Linked DNA regions of Canis lupus familiaris. The protein of the gene in region 1 purifies or fractionates together with the protein of each later gene. This does not show direct contact. Links are inferred from orthologs where the notes say so. Each region holds a gene or a part of one and is shown on either strand. Other genes may lie near its edges.

Region 1 (4,096 bases):
TGGGTAGGTACTGCGAGAGGTTCTTGGCCATAGTCCCTGTCGCTCACTTTCTATTGGCCTTCTACACAGTTCTAATGGGTTAGGCGACATGGGGGTGAACTTTAACATCAACTCCAGCACTTGGGGGCCTTCCTAAGTATACTTTTCCACCTGCTAGGGATCCAATCCTGCTTACCTGATCTGCCACTTGCCGGCTCAGCTGTCCCTTAAAGCCCTTCATGCCCAGGAACTCCCCATCCTCTTCTTCAGCAGCAGCTGCATCAGCATCTACTTCTTCTTCACGCAGGCGCTGATGCAGTTCACCCATATCCTCAAAGCTGGAGCCTGAGGTATCATCCATGTTCTCCATGTCAATCACAGCTGAGCCCCCACCCTGTGAAGACAATGGCTTCTAGAGTGCAGGCCCTTTCTGTTCCATCCGCGGGTCCTCCTCCGTTCCTCCCAGGATTTGGGACTTTGTTCTTCCACTGCTGGGGATATGGCTTGGAATCACCATAGATCATACCACTCTCTTCCCCTCATCTGCTCTCAGAATCCTTGGTTGTCTGGCTCTCTTTTCTAGCCTGGGAAACCTACCCCCTGTCTTGCATATATGTCTTTCTTCTACCTTCCCTATCAAATCCTCAGAGGGCTGCAAAAGTGCCCGTTTTGTCTTTTCCAATCCCCAAACAAGGCTGTGCACACAGCATGGTTTTAGCCAGCGCCGGTGAATACCGCCCACTCCCTCGCCATGCCTGGCCCCGATCGACCAACAAACTTGTCTCGAAAGCAAGAGCAGGCAGGCCCAGAGGCACGAGGCCCTCTGGCTGGAGCACCAGTCTGGACCTTTGAGGTCAGCACCAGTCCCACTACCTTCCGTGTACACCAAGAGCCAAAGGAGAGGACAAGTGTTGCAAATGGAGCAGACTTCCAAGCTCCCAGGGAGAGTCCCCGCGACGCTTCAGGACGGCTGCCGGCCCTGCGGCTGCCGGCAGCCGGAGCCCTGGGGCGATTACCTGGATGTTTTCTTCGAACCCTCCCCATTCCGGGCCGGCCCCGCTTCGGGCGCCGCCAGCCGGCGCCGCCGTAGTTGCCATGTCCCTCGAGGGCTCCCGTCGCTGAAGCCCGCGCTAGTCCCGCGCGCGGAGGAGGAGTGGGAGAGACGTGGGCCTGAAGGAGGGAGATGTCTAGGGGCGAAAAAGAGCGGTGGGTTCAGCCGGAACGCAAAAAGGAGAAACCCGGATGTTTGGCCCAAACCGACTTCCGGAAGCTGGGGACGTGGACGGAGGCTGCACAGAATCTCGCGATATTTAACATCCCGGGAGGCGGTGCGTTGCCATGGAGACGAAGGAGGGCGACTGGGACGCGCGCGCCAGTTTGCTGCCCTAGTCACGTGGAGGGGTAGAAGATGGCGGCCGCCCAGGCGGTGCAAGAGATGCGGACCCGCGTGGTTCTAGGGGAGTTCGGGGTTCGCAATGTAAGCCCGTGGCCTTGAACTCGGCAAGAGAAATGAGAGTGGAACAGGAGGGATGAGTTGGGATCGGAGTTGGGGCGGGTTTGCCCTACCTGCCCCTTCGCAGACTCGTCTCTCTTTGGTCTAGGTTCATACCACCGACTTTCCCGGTAACTATTCCGGCTATGATGATGCCTGGGACCAAGACCGCTTCGAGAAGGTAGGTGGGGCTGGAGAGGGTATTGGGAACGGATCGTGTGATCTGAGCGGCCTGTGCTTTGGAAACTGCCCGTGGGATTCGCTGCGTTCATAAAACGTTTATTGAGCAATATGCTAGGCCCTCCGTGTACATGGTCTGTGCCCTGTTCGTCGAACAAGATGTTTAATCTTGTTGAAGAGCACGCATAAATGACTCCAGTATGATGTAAAGGTGGTTGGTAGCGATAAGAAAGGACAGTCGTGACTAGGGTGACCCCTGAGGGGCACTTAATCTGGAACGGAAAGCGGGGCAGCGGTATGGAAGATTTCCTTCCTGCAGGAGATGACATCTGAATTGAGCCCTGAACGATGAGTAAAATCTGAGAAAGGGTAAGGGTGAAGGTGGGGGGACGAAGACTAGAAGCTACATTATAAAGGCTTTGTGAACTGTGTTCCAAGAACGTCCAGTTTATTATTGCTAGAATGTAAAGTCGGGCAGCATGAGTGCTAGGCAAGATTGAAGTGCATCTTAGACACTGTAGGTGATAGGGGAAGTTTTGAAGAGCTCTGAGCCAGATGTGATCTGATTTGCATCCTTAACTGTTGGGAAAGATCATAGAGGGTAGTCAGATTTGTGACAGAATTGCATAGAGGAGCTGAGGTTGAAGGTATGAACTAAAATGATAATCAGGAAAGTAGAGCAAAAAGGAGACATGATAAATTTGGTGACTGTTTTGATGTGGGCTGTGAGGAGGGAGTATAAAATAACCTACCTTGAGGAACTGCTTTAATGGATGGTGGTGCCATTTACTGATGAAAAATAGGTCTGGGGAAGGGGAATGATGCTGCATTGTTTCCTGAATGTGAGGTCTAGCAGGCCAGTAAAATGTGTGTTTGAAAGGAGATGAGAAGTGAGAATTTGGGAGTTTTCTGTATATATAGTTGTTAAACCCATGAGCGTGATTGAGGTCACTTTGGAGAGAGATAAAAATCCAGAAAATAGTGACTTTATGGAGTGGGTAGGAGATAGTGAATTTAGAAGGATTCATTGGAGGAGAAAGAACCAGAAGATTGGTGCTCAGAAACCAAGGCAGAGTTGGAAAATGGAGGGATTCTATCAATGCCCGATGGAGGAGTCTAGTAAGAAAGGACAGAGTAGAATGGTCTCTGTGGGTGGTCTGGTTGGAGGATTTAAATGAATAGAGGATAAAAATGGGAACTTTTCAAGAAGTTCATGAAGAATTGGGGGAGAAGGGAACAGCTATGAGGTACATCTGGCCAAAGGGAGGTTCTTGGGTGAGTGGGAACATTGTTGCTGGGGCTGGGGGATATCCAGAGGGACGGTATTGATTCCACAGAGGCCAAGGCTTCATTTAGTGCATTTTCTGTCCCTGTAGAATTTCCGTGTGGATGTAGTGCACATGGATGAAAACTCATTGGAGTTCGACATGGTGGGAATTGATGCAGCCATTGCCAATGCTTTTCGACGCATTTTATTAGCTGAGGTATTTATTGGTGGGCATGGTGGCAGGGACGGAGTTGGGTGGAAACTGAGCCATCACCTTACTTGGAGAATTCTTAGGTTGCTCCTTTCATTTTCCTGAGCATTCCTCCTGAACTTTTCATCAGGTGTTTTTCTGGGAATAGGGCCCCCTGTGTCAGGAAGTAGGAGTAAATAGGGAGTCTGTAGGGTCTCTGTAGATGAATGATTTTATTTTTTGGGCAGGTGCCAACCATGGCTGTGGAAAAGGTCCTGGTGTACAACAACACATCCATTGTCCAGGATGAGATCCTTGCTCATCGCTTGGGGCTTATTCCCATTCATGCTGATCCTCGTCTTTTTGAGTATCGGAACCAAGGTCAGCGCTTGAGAAAACGAAATTGTGGCAAAATGGGAACAGCTGTCTCCTAAAGTAGATTCTAGAGGATCTACTGCCTACGTTCAAATCCTGGCTTGATTACTGTGACCATGAGCAAATCACTAATGTTTTGGTACATCAGTTCTGATCTGTGTGAACACTTGCCCTGGTCTTCTGAAATTGGAAATTTGTCCGAGGAGTAAATGAGAAGTGTAGATTAATGCACTCAAATACTCAGTCGTTCTTTAAGAGCTGCCACTTTCATCCTTTGTTCAGGGGATGATGAAGGCACAGAGATAGATACTCTGCAGTTTCGGCTTCAAGTCAGGTGCACACGGAACCCCCATGCTGCTAAAGATTCCTCTGACCCCAATGAACTCTATGTGAACCACAAAGGTGAGTGGTGGTATGGTGAGTAGGAAGGCCCACCTCTTGATGGGTACTAGTTTTAAGGATTGATGTTTTCCTGATGTGCTTTCTCCAGTGTACTCCAGGCACATGACATGGGTGCCCCTGGGGAATCAGGCTGACCTCTTCCCAGAGGGCACGATCAGACCCGTGCATGATGATATCCTCATTGCTCAGCTGAGGCCTGGCCAGGAGATTG
Region 2 (4,128 bases), on another chromosome or scaffold:
TAAGATATTTATTTATTGGGGCGCCTGAGTGACTCAGTGGTTGAGTGTTTGCCTTCAGCTCAGGTCGTGATCCCCAGGTCCTGGAATGGAGTCCTGCATTGGGCCCCCTGCATGGAGCCTGCTCCTCCCTCTGTCTGTGTCTCTGCCTCTCTGTGTATCTCTCATGAATAAATAAATAAAATCTTAAAAAAAAAGATATTTATTTGTTATTAGAGAGAGCACACGAGCAGGGGGGAGGGGTGGGGAGAAGGAGAGGGAGAAGCCGACTTCACACTGCTCATGTTGAGCAGGGAGCCCAACACAAAGCTCTTTCCCAGGACCCTGAGATCATAACCTGAGCTGAAGTCAGATGCTTAACTGACTGAGCCACCCAGGAGCCTCAATTTATTTAAGTAATTTCTACGCCCAAGGTGTGGCTCGAATCCACAACCTGGAGATCATCCCACACTCCATGGACTGAGCCAGCCAGGTGCTTCAAAGTATCAGACTTTATTATTAATTTAGTGGGAAGGTACTGGGGTTGTTTTTTGGTCCAATTCATGATCACTTTTCTTTTCTTTCTTTTTTTTAAGATTATGTATTTATATATTCATGAGAAACACAGAGAGAAATAGAGGCAGAGACACAGGCAGAAGGAGAAGCAGGCTCCGTACAGGCAGGGAGCCCCATGTGGGACTCGATCCCCAGAGCCCAGGATCACGCCCTCGGCCGGCCCAAGGCAGGCGCTAAACCGCCGAGCCACCACTGAGCCACCCAGGGATCCCCAATGATCATTTTTCAATTGAGATGTAATCTGCCTACTTAAGTGCAACGATCTTAACTGTCAAGTTTGATGCGTTGTTTTTTGTTTTTTGTTTAAGATTTTATTTTTAAGTAACCTCTATGCCCAATGTAGGGCTTGAACTCACAACCCTGTTAACAAGAGCTGCATGCCCTACTGACTGCCAGGCCCCCACCTGTGTAACCCACCCCCCTAGAAGAAGATAGGAAACATTCCTATCACCCCAGAAAGGTCCCGCCTGCTCCTTTCCAGATAAATCTCCCGCTTCCAGGGTCCTGAAGGGGTCTAAGCAAACTGTGCCGGCTTTTGAGAGGATCCCTCTGGCCGGGCGCAGCGCACCGCCCCGCCCGGGACGGAGAGGAAGAGCGACAGCCCCGCCGGGCAGGTGAGGTCGGGATCGCGCCCACGTTGCCTAGCAACCAGGAAGCGCGGTCGAAGGGCGGCCGGCTCCGCGGGGGCCCACGGGGAGGCCCCGCCCTACGTCGCGCCGCGTCGCGTTGGGGGGCGGGCAGAGGCTTCTTATTGGTCTGTTCTCCGGAAGCGACGGGATTCGGAATCTCGCCCGAAGTCGGCTGCGCGTGGGAGCGCGGTGCATGGCGGCGCGTGGCGCGTGGCGGGACCGGGTCGTGCGGCGGGTGCTCGCGCTCTCTCGCTGGAGCGAGGGCGTCTCCTGCTGAGCCTCAGTTTCCTCAGTTTGCAGAGGCTGCACACGCCCCGCACGGGGTACCCGGCGCCGCACCGCGCAGCCCCTCCGCCGGCCTGGGTGTGTGCGTGGGGGGCGCTCAGCGGCGGGGACGCGCCCGAGGGGGTTCGGGAACGCCCACCGCCCCACACGGCGCGTGACTGAGCCTCCCGCCCCCAGGGCCCCGGCGCAGGCGCGATGTTCGTCCTGGTGGAGATGGTGGACACCGTGCGGATCCCCCCGTGGCAGTTTGAGAGGAAGCTCAACGACTCCATTGCCGAGGAGCTGAACAAAAAGTTGGCCAACAAGGTACCGGGGGCCCACGGGGTCGCTGACAGGCCCTGGCACGGGAGGCCCAGCGCTGCCCTCCTGCCCGCTGCAGGCCTCCCCGGTCACGCCAAACCCTGGCCTTGGACAAGTAGCTTAACTTCTCCGAGCTCAGTTACTTCACCTGCACGTGGGATGTTGGAGTCAAAACAGAAACTGGGGAAATGCCAGATTGCACCCTGTTGGATTACCCGCTCTGGGCCTCAGCTTCCATTTGTAAAATGGAAATAATGATGGCTGTCACACACTGTGTCTGTGAAGATGGACAGTGGTTTAGAGTTAACCATCATTAAGGGGCCCCTGGGTGGCTCCGTCCCTGAAGGATCGGCCTTCAGCTCCTGATCGCAGGGTCTTGGGATTGAGCCCCACATTCAGCTCCCTGCTCAGTGAGGTGTCTGCTTCTCCCTCTCCTCCCTGCTCATGCTCTCTTGCGCTGTCTCTGTCTCGCAAATAAATAGAGTTAACCATCAGGAGATTTATTCTTTTCTTTTTTTTTAAGATTTTGTTTATTAATTCATGAGAGACACAGAGGTAGAGGGAGAAGCAGGCTCCATGCAAGGAGCGCACGCGTTCTCTCTCTCTGTTAAATATATCTTTTTTTTTAAGATTTTATTTATTGATTCATGATAGACACAGAAAGAGGCAGAGACACAGGCAGAGGGAGGAGAAGCAGGCTCTATGCAAGGAACCCGATGTGGGACTCGATCCCAGGAATCTGGGATCATGCCCTGAGCCAAAGGCAGACGCTCAACCACTGAGCCACTCAGGTGTCCCAATAAATATATATATTTTTTAAAATGAAGATTTTGGGATGCCTGACTAAACTGCTCAGCAATTTAGCGCCTGCCTTTGGCCCAGGGCGTGATCCTGGAGTCCTGGGATCCAGTCCCACATCGGGCTCCCTGCAGGGAGCTTGCTTCCCCCTCTGCCTGTGTCTCTGCCTCTTTCTCTCTCTCTCTCTTTCTGTGTCTCATGAATAAATAAATAAAATCTTTTTAAAAAATGAAGATTTTATTTATTTGAAAGAGAAAAAGAGAGAGAAAGCACAAGCACGGTGGGGGGCAGAGGGGGAGGGAGAAGCACTCTGCTGAGCAGGGAGCCTGACTTGGGACTCAATCCTAGGACCCTGGGATCATGACCTGAGCTCAAAGCAGATGCTTCACCAACAGAGCTACCCAGGTACCCTGGGGATTCATTTTTGAGAGTGGGAAAGGGCTGTGCAGAGAGAAGAGTTGGGCAGGCAAAGGAAACTGCATGTGTAAAGGCCCTGTGGCAGGAGGGAATATTTCATCCATCATAACCTGGAGGAGGACTGGTGTGGCCTGGAGAGGAAGAGAGGAGAGTAAGCTGGAAAGGTGGCAGGAGCCAAACCACATGGGGCCTGCAGGATGTCATGGCAGTATTGATTTCCATCTGTAGAATAGCAGGAGGTGATAGGCTGAGAAGGAGCAAGAGGAAGGTTGGCTGGCTTTAGACAGGAGGCCAGTCCCTTCTGTAGATAGAGGCTGAGATCATGGAAGGGAGTTGTTTGCAGCTGTTGGTGGAGAGAACTCATGAAGTCCTTAGTGATTGGCTTCCAGTTACGTTGTGAGGTAGAAGGTAGAGGGGGTCAGTGGAGGGATGAAGTGTGAGCATAGTGGTGACAGAAGGTGTGAAAAGTCCAAGAAGGTAAAAAAAGTAAAAAAAAAAAAAAAAAAAAAAAAAAACTGTTTAAAAAAAAGGGGATCCCTGGGTGGCTCAGCGGTTTAGCGCCTGCCTTTGGCCCAGGGTGCGATCCTGGAGTCCCGGGATCGAGTCCCACATCGGGCTCCTGGCATGGAGCCTGCTTCTCCCTCCTCCTGTGTTTCTGCCTCTCTCTCTCTGTGTCTATCATAAATAAATAAATTAAAAAAAAAAAAGCTGTTAAAAGTCCAAGAAGGGAATGTAGCCCTTTGGGGTATGGGTCCTTCAGGGACCTGTTCAGACGAGTCTTTTATATTAGAATCATTTGAGAGGAAGCTGCACAGAAGAGGTCTGTGGTCTGGCCAAGGGCACAGATCTTTTTTTTTTTTTTTTTTTTTAAGATTTTATTTATTTAATTATGAGAGACACACAAAGAGAGGCGGAGACACAGGCAGAGGGAGAAGCAGGCTCCATGCAGGTACCCAATGTGGGACACGATCCCATCCAGGCCTCCCAAGGGCACAGATCTTGTGCAAGGCAGCCAGGCTCTGTGGCTCATTGTGGTGAGGTCCGGCCCGGACTTGGAGTTCTCTGAGCTTCTTGCTAATCCTTGAACAGTCCTGCAGGGTGTGTATTGGGAGGTGATGACACTGGTGGCAGGTAAGCAGGCTGGTGA
Region 3 (4,150 bases), on another chromosome or scaffold:
CAGAATACAAGTTGTTCTGATTTTCCCTAAAGTTGTTTAGATAACTACTATAGGTAACACACTTTCCTCCCCCTCTTCTGGAGCACACGTGGCACCAGAAAGTCTGTTAAGTGTTAGACCTCTGACCTAACCAAAATGCCTTCTGCACACCCCTTTGTACTCTGTAAATGTGAACTAAGGCCCAAACTTTGTGGAGAATAGCTGTGCAGCTGCAGGATAATCACATGTCCAGTCCCCTATGTCAGTAAATTACCCAGAATCGAAGGGTGTGTAAAATGTATGGAGTCACCTACTTCATTTTCAAATCTCAAAGTGCCTTCTCAGTTTGGGGGATACTTTATTGTCCCTCCTCCACTTCCCAACACTCTGGTTTTCCTCATTTCTCAAACAAAGTGAAACAAGTCTTCCTGATTCCTCCTGATGGCGCCAAAGTCTGTAAATCTACCTATACACGATAAATGATTGACATTACAGTTCAAGGTTTCGTCCCTAATTAGAAATGTATAGTTCAATGTGTGCTGCTTTATTTGCCCTAAGTCCGAGTCTTTATCACACTGGGGTAGCCCACTACCCAGAGTGGTACTGGGGGGTGGGGGAGGGGAGGGTGTGGTGGGCAGTCCTCATTTGTTCAGAGCGCAACCTGCTCCATAAGGCCACACTGTCCATGGGTTCCTTATATCTCTGGGGTAATGGCTCGGACTTGGGACACTTCAGGTGGCTTCCTCCTAGCCTGTCAAGTGGAAGCACTGATTGGTTCCAGAAAGTAGTAAGTATATCAAACAATGCCTCTTTCCAGATTTTATGACCACTTTTATATCCTTAATAACTCTCAATTCCATACTCTCTAGTCATTTTCTCTTGGACAGTTGTAACAATCTCTTAATTGGTCTCCATGTCTACAGCCTCACTCAAGCCATCAGCTAATGCTATCAAGCGTGGTTTCTTCTTCAACTGTGTATCTGATCATGTCCCAGAGATCGGATATGCACTACTCTCTCCAGAGTGCACCAAATTTCAGAACTGGAGGGCACTAGGAGGACCAAGCGCCAAGCCTGCTTAAGCAAAGAGGAAAAAAAAACCTAGTAGATAAGAAGGAAAGAGCAAAATGTACATCCTGAGTGATCCCCCACGCTGCCTCTGCTCTCTTCAACTGCACACACTTTCTTTCCTCTTAACATAAATCTTACTCCAATTATATAGTACTTACAATTCTCTGACCAAAGCAGTCTATTTTTATCTACTATCCGTTTACGTTACACTTTTTATGCCTTGAATACTACCATCTCAGAGGTCCTAATATCAAATTCACTACTCTTTCTCTTAATATAACTTTAGACCTCTGTCAAATTTTAACATTTCATTCGATTTATCTGACATTTATATCTTTACTAGAGCTTACAGTTTCTTGAAACAGGGATCTTGTTTTTTCTTTGTTTTTAAATCCTAAGTCCCTAGTACATAAAACAGCCACCACACAAGGGTGCTGGTGCTTGGAATGAGCCGTACATCCTAGACTTGCTTGCTTCTTAACCTGTTCAGGATCCCTGGAGAAAGGGAACACTTTGGATACTTTGACCTAGAACACGGACAGCAAATTTCCCGAGGAGGGGGGTGGGGGTGGGGGGAGGATGTCATGAAATTTCTGAAGTGCAGTAAGGAATCCCCAGGAATTCCACTTGTCCCAGCTCCGGAACCTTTGCTTTTGAGGCAAAGCAGCCCTATTGCAATATTAAAGTACACATGCCCCCTTCCTTTGACCCTCCGTTCTTGTAACTCCGTTTCTTCTGAACACATTAAACGAACCACAAAGGTTTTTCACCCCCAAGCCCAACAGAATGGCCAGTTAGATTAATTAAACTGCTCTTAAAAACAAAACAAAGGGGGCATCCCTGGGTGGTTCAGCGGTTTAGCGCCTGCCTTCAGCCCAGAGCGTGATCCTGGGGTCCCCGGATCGAGTCCCGTGTCGGGCTCCCTGCATGGAGCCTGCTTCTCCCTCTGCCTCTCTATCATGAATGAATGAATGAATGAATGAATGAATAAATAAATAAATAAAAACACAGTACTTTTCTCGTCCCTGATCAGGTCCCAAGCAAGAGAACCCAGCAGAAGTATCTCTCGGGCAGCCCGTGTGGCCCAGCGGTCTAGCGCCGCCCGCAGCCCGGGGCGTGACCCTGGAGTCCCGGGATCGAGCCCCACGTCGCGCTCCCCGCGTGGAGCCTGCTTCTCCCTCTGCGGGGGGAGGGGCGGGGGCACCCGGGCCGACGGGGTTTCTAGGCCCCTGCTCTATTCTTCCCCCTGAACGCCATAGAGCAAGCTCCTCTAGCCCGTCCCCCTTCCTGCCTGTTACATGGACCGACTAGGCAGGTACCGGCCTTCCGGGCCCGAAGAAGAGTCCCGAGGGCGTCCAGGTGGCCAGGGCGTTCCTGCCCCCTCACGCCTCTTCTGCTACCTCGTCGCTACCCCCGCCCGTGCGCCGGCGCACGCAGGAAGGGCCCGAGGGGCCGGTACCTTTCGGAATAGCGCAGCAGCTCCGCGTCCAGCTGTTCCCGGATACCCGTGCGTTTCCGGTGAAGGTAGCGCGGCGAAAGCGCGATGTGTCTTCGGTGCGGCCCCGCCACCAGGCAGGAGTAACGGCTACTCACCAGCGCACAAGCCGCCGCGTAGGTCGGAAGCTCTAGGCAAGGCAACACGCCGGCCGGCCCCTCAGAGGCCGCCTTAGGCGGCGGAGACTCGCAGCAACCCGCAGCCATGCGCTTCGGCCAGCTTTCCCGCGGCGCCCACGGCTGACGCACGCGCCGCCGCCTCCTGCGGGCGCCCGGGTTCCACGTCATCCACCCGCCGGCCCGCCCCTAGGAAATTGCTCTCCTTGAGTCGCGTTACGCGCTTGTGACCAGCAGAGGGCAGCCGCTTTTCCGCCTGCGGGACGGCGGCGGGAGCGGAGAGCCGCGGCTCAAGTCCGGAGCGTGCTGCAGGCCCGGCCACCACCTCCTCTCCTCGGGGCAGCCAAACCGTCCGCTAACGTCCTTTTTTTTTTTTTTAATATTTTATTTATTTATTTATTCATGAGAGACACAGGCAGAGGGAGAAGCAGGCTCCTCGCAGGGAGCCCGACGCGGGTCTCGATCCCAGGTCTCCAGGGTCACGCCCTGGGCTGAAGGCGGCGCCAAACCGCTGAGCCACCCAGGGGATTCCCCGTAACGTCTTTTTTGTTTTTTTTTTTTTTGTTTTTTTTTTTTTAATTTTTTTATTTATGATAGTTACAGAGAGAGAGAGAGAGAGAGAGAGAGAGAGAGAGAGAGAGAGGCAGAGACACAGGCAGAGGGAGAAGCAGGCTCCATGCACCAGGAGCCTGATGTGGGATTCGATCCCGGGTCTCCAGGATCGTGCCCTGGGCCAAAGGCAGGCACTAAACCGCTGCACCACCCAGGGATCCCCTCTTTTTTGGATTTAATATGTAGACTTAATAGGGGTTCGCACTTTGATAGTTTCCAGTAATAACGTGGTCTGGTAAATTTTGCCAGCGTGGACAATACAAATAATAAACTTTAAAATTTTAGGGCATGTATTTTCTGCAGGGAATCCAGTCCTAAAATGCAGCCCAGATGCCTCAACTGCGAGACATCTGAAAATCAACCCATCATCTCTCTCTCCCGTCTGGACTCTCTGCTCAGCCTGTAACAACTAACTCAAGAGATCTTACCACTTTCCAAAGGGCTCAGCTCAGCTGGTCCCCTAGGAGCCTCTCTTGTACCCTCAAATATCGAGTCGGCCCCACGGCTTGTGGGGTCCACGGCGGAAACATCGGCCTATTGGGGATACTTCTGTCTGTCCTCACTTCCCAAACCGCAGAAGTGCCTGTGGAAGCTTAGTCCTGATGGTCAAGAGGACCCCCGGGAGCCCCTTCTCCCAAACACAAATAGAACCATGACTTGTTCCCATGGGCGCCCCAGGTTTCTCAGGGTAACACAGACTCCTTAATATGGCTAAGGTACTTACAAGACCATATAGGGATCTGCTGCCAGCCCCGGAGTCCCATTTATCACAATCCCCACTTTACCTTTTCTGCTAGCCACCACCCGAGTTCATTGATTCCCTTTCACCTTGCAACCTCTCTTTTCCATCACTTTCTGCTCCCTGGGAAAATATGAAT
Region 4 (3,983 bases), on another chromosome or scaffold:
ACATGTGAATGGAAGAAAACAGTAAGATTCCTCCCTCTGACACTCATTTCCTCTGATCATTCAAAGTATAATGTGGGGCACCTGGGTGGTTCAGTTGGTTAAGCATCTGACTCTTGATTTCAGCTCAGGTCATGATCTCAGGGTTTTGACATAGAGCCCCTACATCAAGACAAAGGCTGAGGGTGGAGCCTGCTTCAGATTCTTTCTCACCCTAGCCGGAATATGTGTGTGTGTGCACAGCTTCTCTCTAAAAACAAAACAAAAAAACCTTTCGAAGTACAATGTACTTCCCCTCCGTTATTCTTATTCCTTAAAGGTAGCACTGAGATTAATAGACTTATTATGAATAAGCAAGGTGTAGCATATTAGGAGCAAAGATTTGCCTAAGAAGCCATGATGAACCAGGAATACCTTGAGAGCAGAACCTTGAGGCCTACATCTTATCCCCCCCTCATTCCCCAAATAACACTGTTCTGATCCTAGGGCAGACTTTCTCTCTTTTTTTGTTTTGTGGGGTGGGGAGGAATAATATTTAAAGGTAGATAAAGAATGAAAGCAAATTAATGCCGTCCACACATACCTGATCCAGTGATGTTCCTGTGTCATGGGCAATTACTCTTAGTGGCTGGCTGCCAGTCCTGATTAGGTGGACTCCAATTTTTTCTACAATCTCTCCAAAATGCTCTTGTAGCAACAAAGAGCAAAGTTTAATTTCTGCTTGAGTCATTGTACTGAGAAGTCTCAGAGCTAGAGGGAAAAAAGGCCATATGATGGATAGTTTTCCTCTTTTGTTGGAAGTAGTGCAAATTCGTGTACTTTCTAGATGGCAATTTTAACAGTATATCTTTAAAAAATTTCATTTTAGATACTGTCTCAAGAAAATAAAAGTCACTGTAATTTCCCTTATTATACTGATATGCTGGAAACAACTGAATGTCTAACAATAGGAATTAACTCAATAAATGATGGCATACCCATACATTGGAATACTAGCCACCATTTAAAACAAAGTATAATACATATGAACATAGAAAATTGTTCCTTAAGTGAAAGAAGCAGGTCACAAAGCAAAACGTAGAGGACAATTAAATCATAATGAAAAACAAACAAACAAAACCGCAAGAAAAATGCATAGAAAAAAAGACTGGAAGACTATATGTCAAATTTACTTTAATGGGATTATGAGTGATTCTAATTTTCTTTAAAAGTTGGGTGTAGATGATTTTGCGATGTCACGGACTTTAGATTCAATACTCCATTGCTTGGAAGAATTAAGGCCACTGTTCACGGCCGTTGGGAATGAACAGGTAGTGTCACCTCAGTCCATAAAGGAAATGACAACTTAGAAGAAGAAAAGGAGGCAAAGGAAAGCTTCTCAACTGGGTGTTTCAAACAGGAGATGAAGTATGTTGTCTGAAAGGCAGTATTTAATTCTGAAATTTCTACTCCTTGAGAAAGTAAACATACACAGAAACAGACACAGCTGACCCTAAAGTATAATTACTTATTATCCCAAGGGCTACCAAGCATCGAGTTGTTCAGTTAGTCTCCCAAATCCCCAGAGGCCAAGTCTCCGCCTCTCAGCTCTATATTCCCATCCGCATGTGCTTGGGGAAGCATCCCGGACCCTGTCCCATCCTGCAACAGGACTTCCAGGGAGCCTACTTAGCTCCCGGCTCTTCACTCCCTTCACGCAGGTCCCCGTTCCAGACTCGGTCCCCTGGTCCACAGACAGGGCCGCTTCGTCAGGGGAGCATTTTCCACTAACCTCGGGGTCAACGCAATCTAACAATGCGGCTTCTTGCGGGTCCCACCGGCCGCCGGGGCAGAGGGGGAGCCCACGGCCCTCCCTCGCAGGCGGACGGGCAGCCAGGAGGAGGGAAAGGGGAACCACGCGTGCCGCTCTACCCCGGAGTTTCGGTGGTTTCCGGTGACGCTCTTTCTTTCCTCTCGCTGGAAAGCTGGAGGACCGGCGAGCCGCTGTCTGAGGAGCCGGCGGGCAGGCTGCGGCGGGCGGACTCTCCTTCCTGCGCCTCTTTGGTGCCGGGAGGCGGGCCGCGGGGTCGCCGTCCGCGCCGCCGGCTCGCTGGGCCCGGCCGACTCACGTGACCGACGCGGCCTCCGGCGGCCCGCCGCACTTAGGAAGCGGCGGCGGCCGAGGCGACGACCGCAGCCCGGAGGTAGCGGCCTGGCGGGGGACGGGCCGCTGCCCTCTCGGACGGCCGCGGCGGAAGAGAAAGATGGCGGAGGCCTCCGCGGCTGGCGCGGGCGCAGGCGCCGCTGTCGCCGCGCACCGGTTTTTCTGCCACTTTTGCAAGGGCGAGGTCAGCCCCAAACTACCGGTAAGAGCCCCGTGGCCCCTGCGCTTGGGCATCCGCGGGGATCCTTCGCCCCGCAGTCCCCGAAGGGGTCTTCAACGCCCCGCACAGCCCGGATTTTTCTGACACCAGCCTTCCAAATGCCCGCTGCCCGCTGTTTTCTGGTCTCCGGCCCCAAATCCTGGGCGTCCCGGCCCTGGCTCCAGAGCTCCCGCCCAGCCCTTTTCCCCTTCGGATGTTCCACCTGCCCCTCGCTCCCACCCGGCCCTTCACCTGCGTCGCTTCATCTTTTTTTCCTCTCGCAGCAAGTTCTGACAACTCTCCCCTTAGTTTTCTTTCACTCTTTCTTACCTTGTCTCTATCCCACAATGACCTCTCTTTCCCCCCTCTCGATATCTTCTGCACTTCTCACCTTCCTCTACGGCCTTTTTCACTTTTAATCGGACACCCCCGCCCCCCAATCCCCAGGGGAGCCAAATAGCGGATTGCTGAGGGTTGTCCCTGTTCGCTTGTCTCTAGGGAAGGAAGGAAGAAAGCGCGGAGAGAGAGAGGGTTGGAAGGTAACTGTGGGGAGGTGAGGATTTTGCTCCTCAGTGGTTTCCAGGGTTCTTGTGAAAGTGAAAACAAGTGTGCTAATGACTTGCAGACTGCCTTGTCCGTCCTATCACTATTGAAGGAAATGGCTTTAGGAAGAAGTCAGGACATGTTGTCCTGCTGCCCGTGTTTTAGCATCACCTCCCTTCCCCGCCCCGTTCCCCGATTCTGTCTCTTCACTTAATAAAAAGACCCATGATAGAATGCTGGGGACTGGCTCCTCTGACATAAGATTGGTTTTCACCAGTTTCTGCCAGATTGTCTGTTAGCCCCTGGAGAGTGGTGCAATCGTTGTGAAGAATGTGCTTCTACAGCAGGCTAGCCAGCTACAACCCTCCAAACCCAGCTCTTGTGTGTTGGGTTATAAGCTACTACAGGGAGACCCACAAGAGTGAATGTAGACTCTACCCTTGGCCAGCCATCTTTAGAATTAGTTATGGTTGTTCTTTTTCTTGGAACTATCCAGCCTCAGCCTTAAGACAGGGGGGCTATATAACAACCCACCTCTGTATTTACTGTGTCTCAGATACAGCCTGTGAGAAATCCTACTAAATGTGTCTGCATGCATGTCTTAGTTTTTAATTTTTTTTTAATTTTTATTTGTTTATGATAGTCACAGAGAGAGAGAGAGAGAGAGGCAGAGACATAGGCAGAGGGAGAAGCAGGCTCCATGCACCGGGAGCCCGACGTGGGACTCGATCCTGGGTCTCCAGGATCGCGCCCTGGGCCAAAGGCAGGCGCCAAACCGCTGCGCCACCCAGGGATCCCTGTCTTAGTTTCTAGAAACACAAATGGAGTCTAGTGAATACATGCCTCAATGGTATTTTAGCTTCTTCACCAAAAGTTGTGCTTTTTCATGCTTTTAGGGCATTTTCTTTCCATTTGCCCCACCCCATCCAGGGTCATAGTTTCATCTATGTGCTATGTTACTTTTGCCTGCTGGTTCAGCTCTGTGTGTGTGCAGGTTTTTTTGCCATGTTTCAGTGCTAAGAAGAGCAGGTGCCTTGGTGTCTTGTTTTTTGTTTTTTTGTTTGTTTGTTTTTGTTTTTTCTTTTGCTAGTGGACAGTAGA

Evidence for each region. The genes of interacting proteins can lie anywhere in the genome.
Region 2: the proteins of POLR1C (region 1) and POLR3H purify together in Homo sapiens (affinity purification with mass spectrometry; 5 studies listed by BioGRID and IntAct, counting the BioPlex papers as one, with this or other methods). This does not show direct contact. The link is inferred for Canis lupus familiaris from reciprocal best matches to the Homo sapiens genes POLR1C and POLR3H.
Region 3: the proteins of POLR1C (region 1) and POLR1F purify together in Homo sapiens (affinity purification with mass spectrometry; 3 studies listed by BioGRID and IntAct, counting the BioPlex papers as one, with this or other methods). This does not show direct contact. The link is inferred for Canis lupus familiaris from reciprocal best matches to the Homo sapiens genes POLR1C and POLR1F.
Region 4: the proteins of POLR1C (region 1) and POLR3C purify together in Homo sapiens (affinity purification with mass spectrometry; 5 studies listed by BioGRID and IntAct, counting the BioPlex papers as one, with this or other methods). This does not show direct contact. The link is inferred for Canis lupus familiaris from reciprocal best matches to the Homo sapiens genes POLR1C and POLR3C.

What each region holds. Positions count from the first base shown.
Region 1 is NC_049233.1:12,166,452-12,170,547, forward strand, and holds the start of POLR1C (DNA-directed RNA polymerases I and III subunit RPAC1), read left to right. Parts: upstream 1-1,296; 5' UTR 1,297-1,387; coding exon 1,388-1,456; intron 1,457-1,580; coding exon 1,581-1,652; intron 1,653-3,027; coding exon 3,028-3,135; intron 3,136-3,356; coding exon 3,357-3,489; intron 3,490-3,765; coding exon 3,766-3,885; intron 3,886-3,973; coding exon 3,974-4,096. Other genes in the region: protein YIPF3, read right to left, coding at 176-373, 996-1,076. UniProt on the Homo sapiens protein: DNA-dependent RNA polymerase catalyzes the transcription of DNA into RNA using the four ribonucleoside triphosphates as substrates.
Region 2 is NC_049231.1:24,684,336-24,688,463, forward strand, and holds the start of POLR3H (DNA-directed RNA polymerase III subunit RPC8), read left to right. Parts: upstream 1-1,328; 5' UTR 1,329-1,544; intron 1,545-1,643; 5' UTR 1,644-1,661; coding exon 1,662-1,772; intron 1,773-4,128.
Region 3 is NC_049235.1:33,912,379-33,916,528, forward strand, and holds the start of POLR1F (DNA-directed RNA polymerase I subunit RPA43), read right to left. Parts: upstream 2,801-4,150; 5' UTR 2,751-2,800; coding exon 2,509-2,750; intron 1-2,508. UniProt on the Homo sapiens protein: Component of RNA polymerase I (Pol I), a DNA-dependent RNA polymerase which synthesizes ribosomal RNA precursors using the four ribonucleoside triphosphates as substrates.
Region 4 is NC_049238.1:59,290,189-59,294,171, reverse strand, and holds the start of POLR3C (DNA-directed RNA polymerase III subunit RPC3), read right to left. Parts: upstream 2,801-3,983; 5' UTR 2,670-2,800; intron 2,343-2,669; coding exon of another isoform or gene 2,241-2,342; exon of another isoform or gene 2,152-2,240; intron 1,903-2,151; exon of another isoform or gene 1,769-1,902; intron 748-1,768; 5' UTR 728-747; coding exon 581-727; intron 1-580. Other genes in the region: E3 ubiquitin-protein ligase RNF115, read left to right, coding at 2,241-2,342. UniProt on the Homo sapiens protein: DNA-dependent RNA polymerase catalyzes the transcription of DNA into RNA using the four ribonucleoside triphosphates as substrates.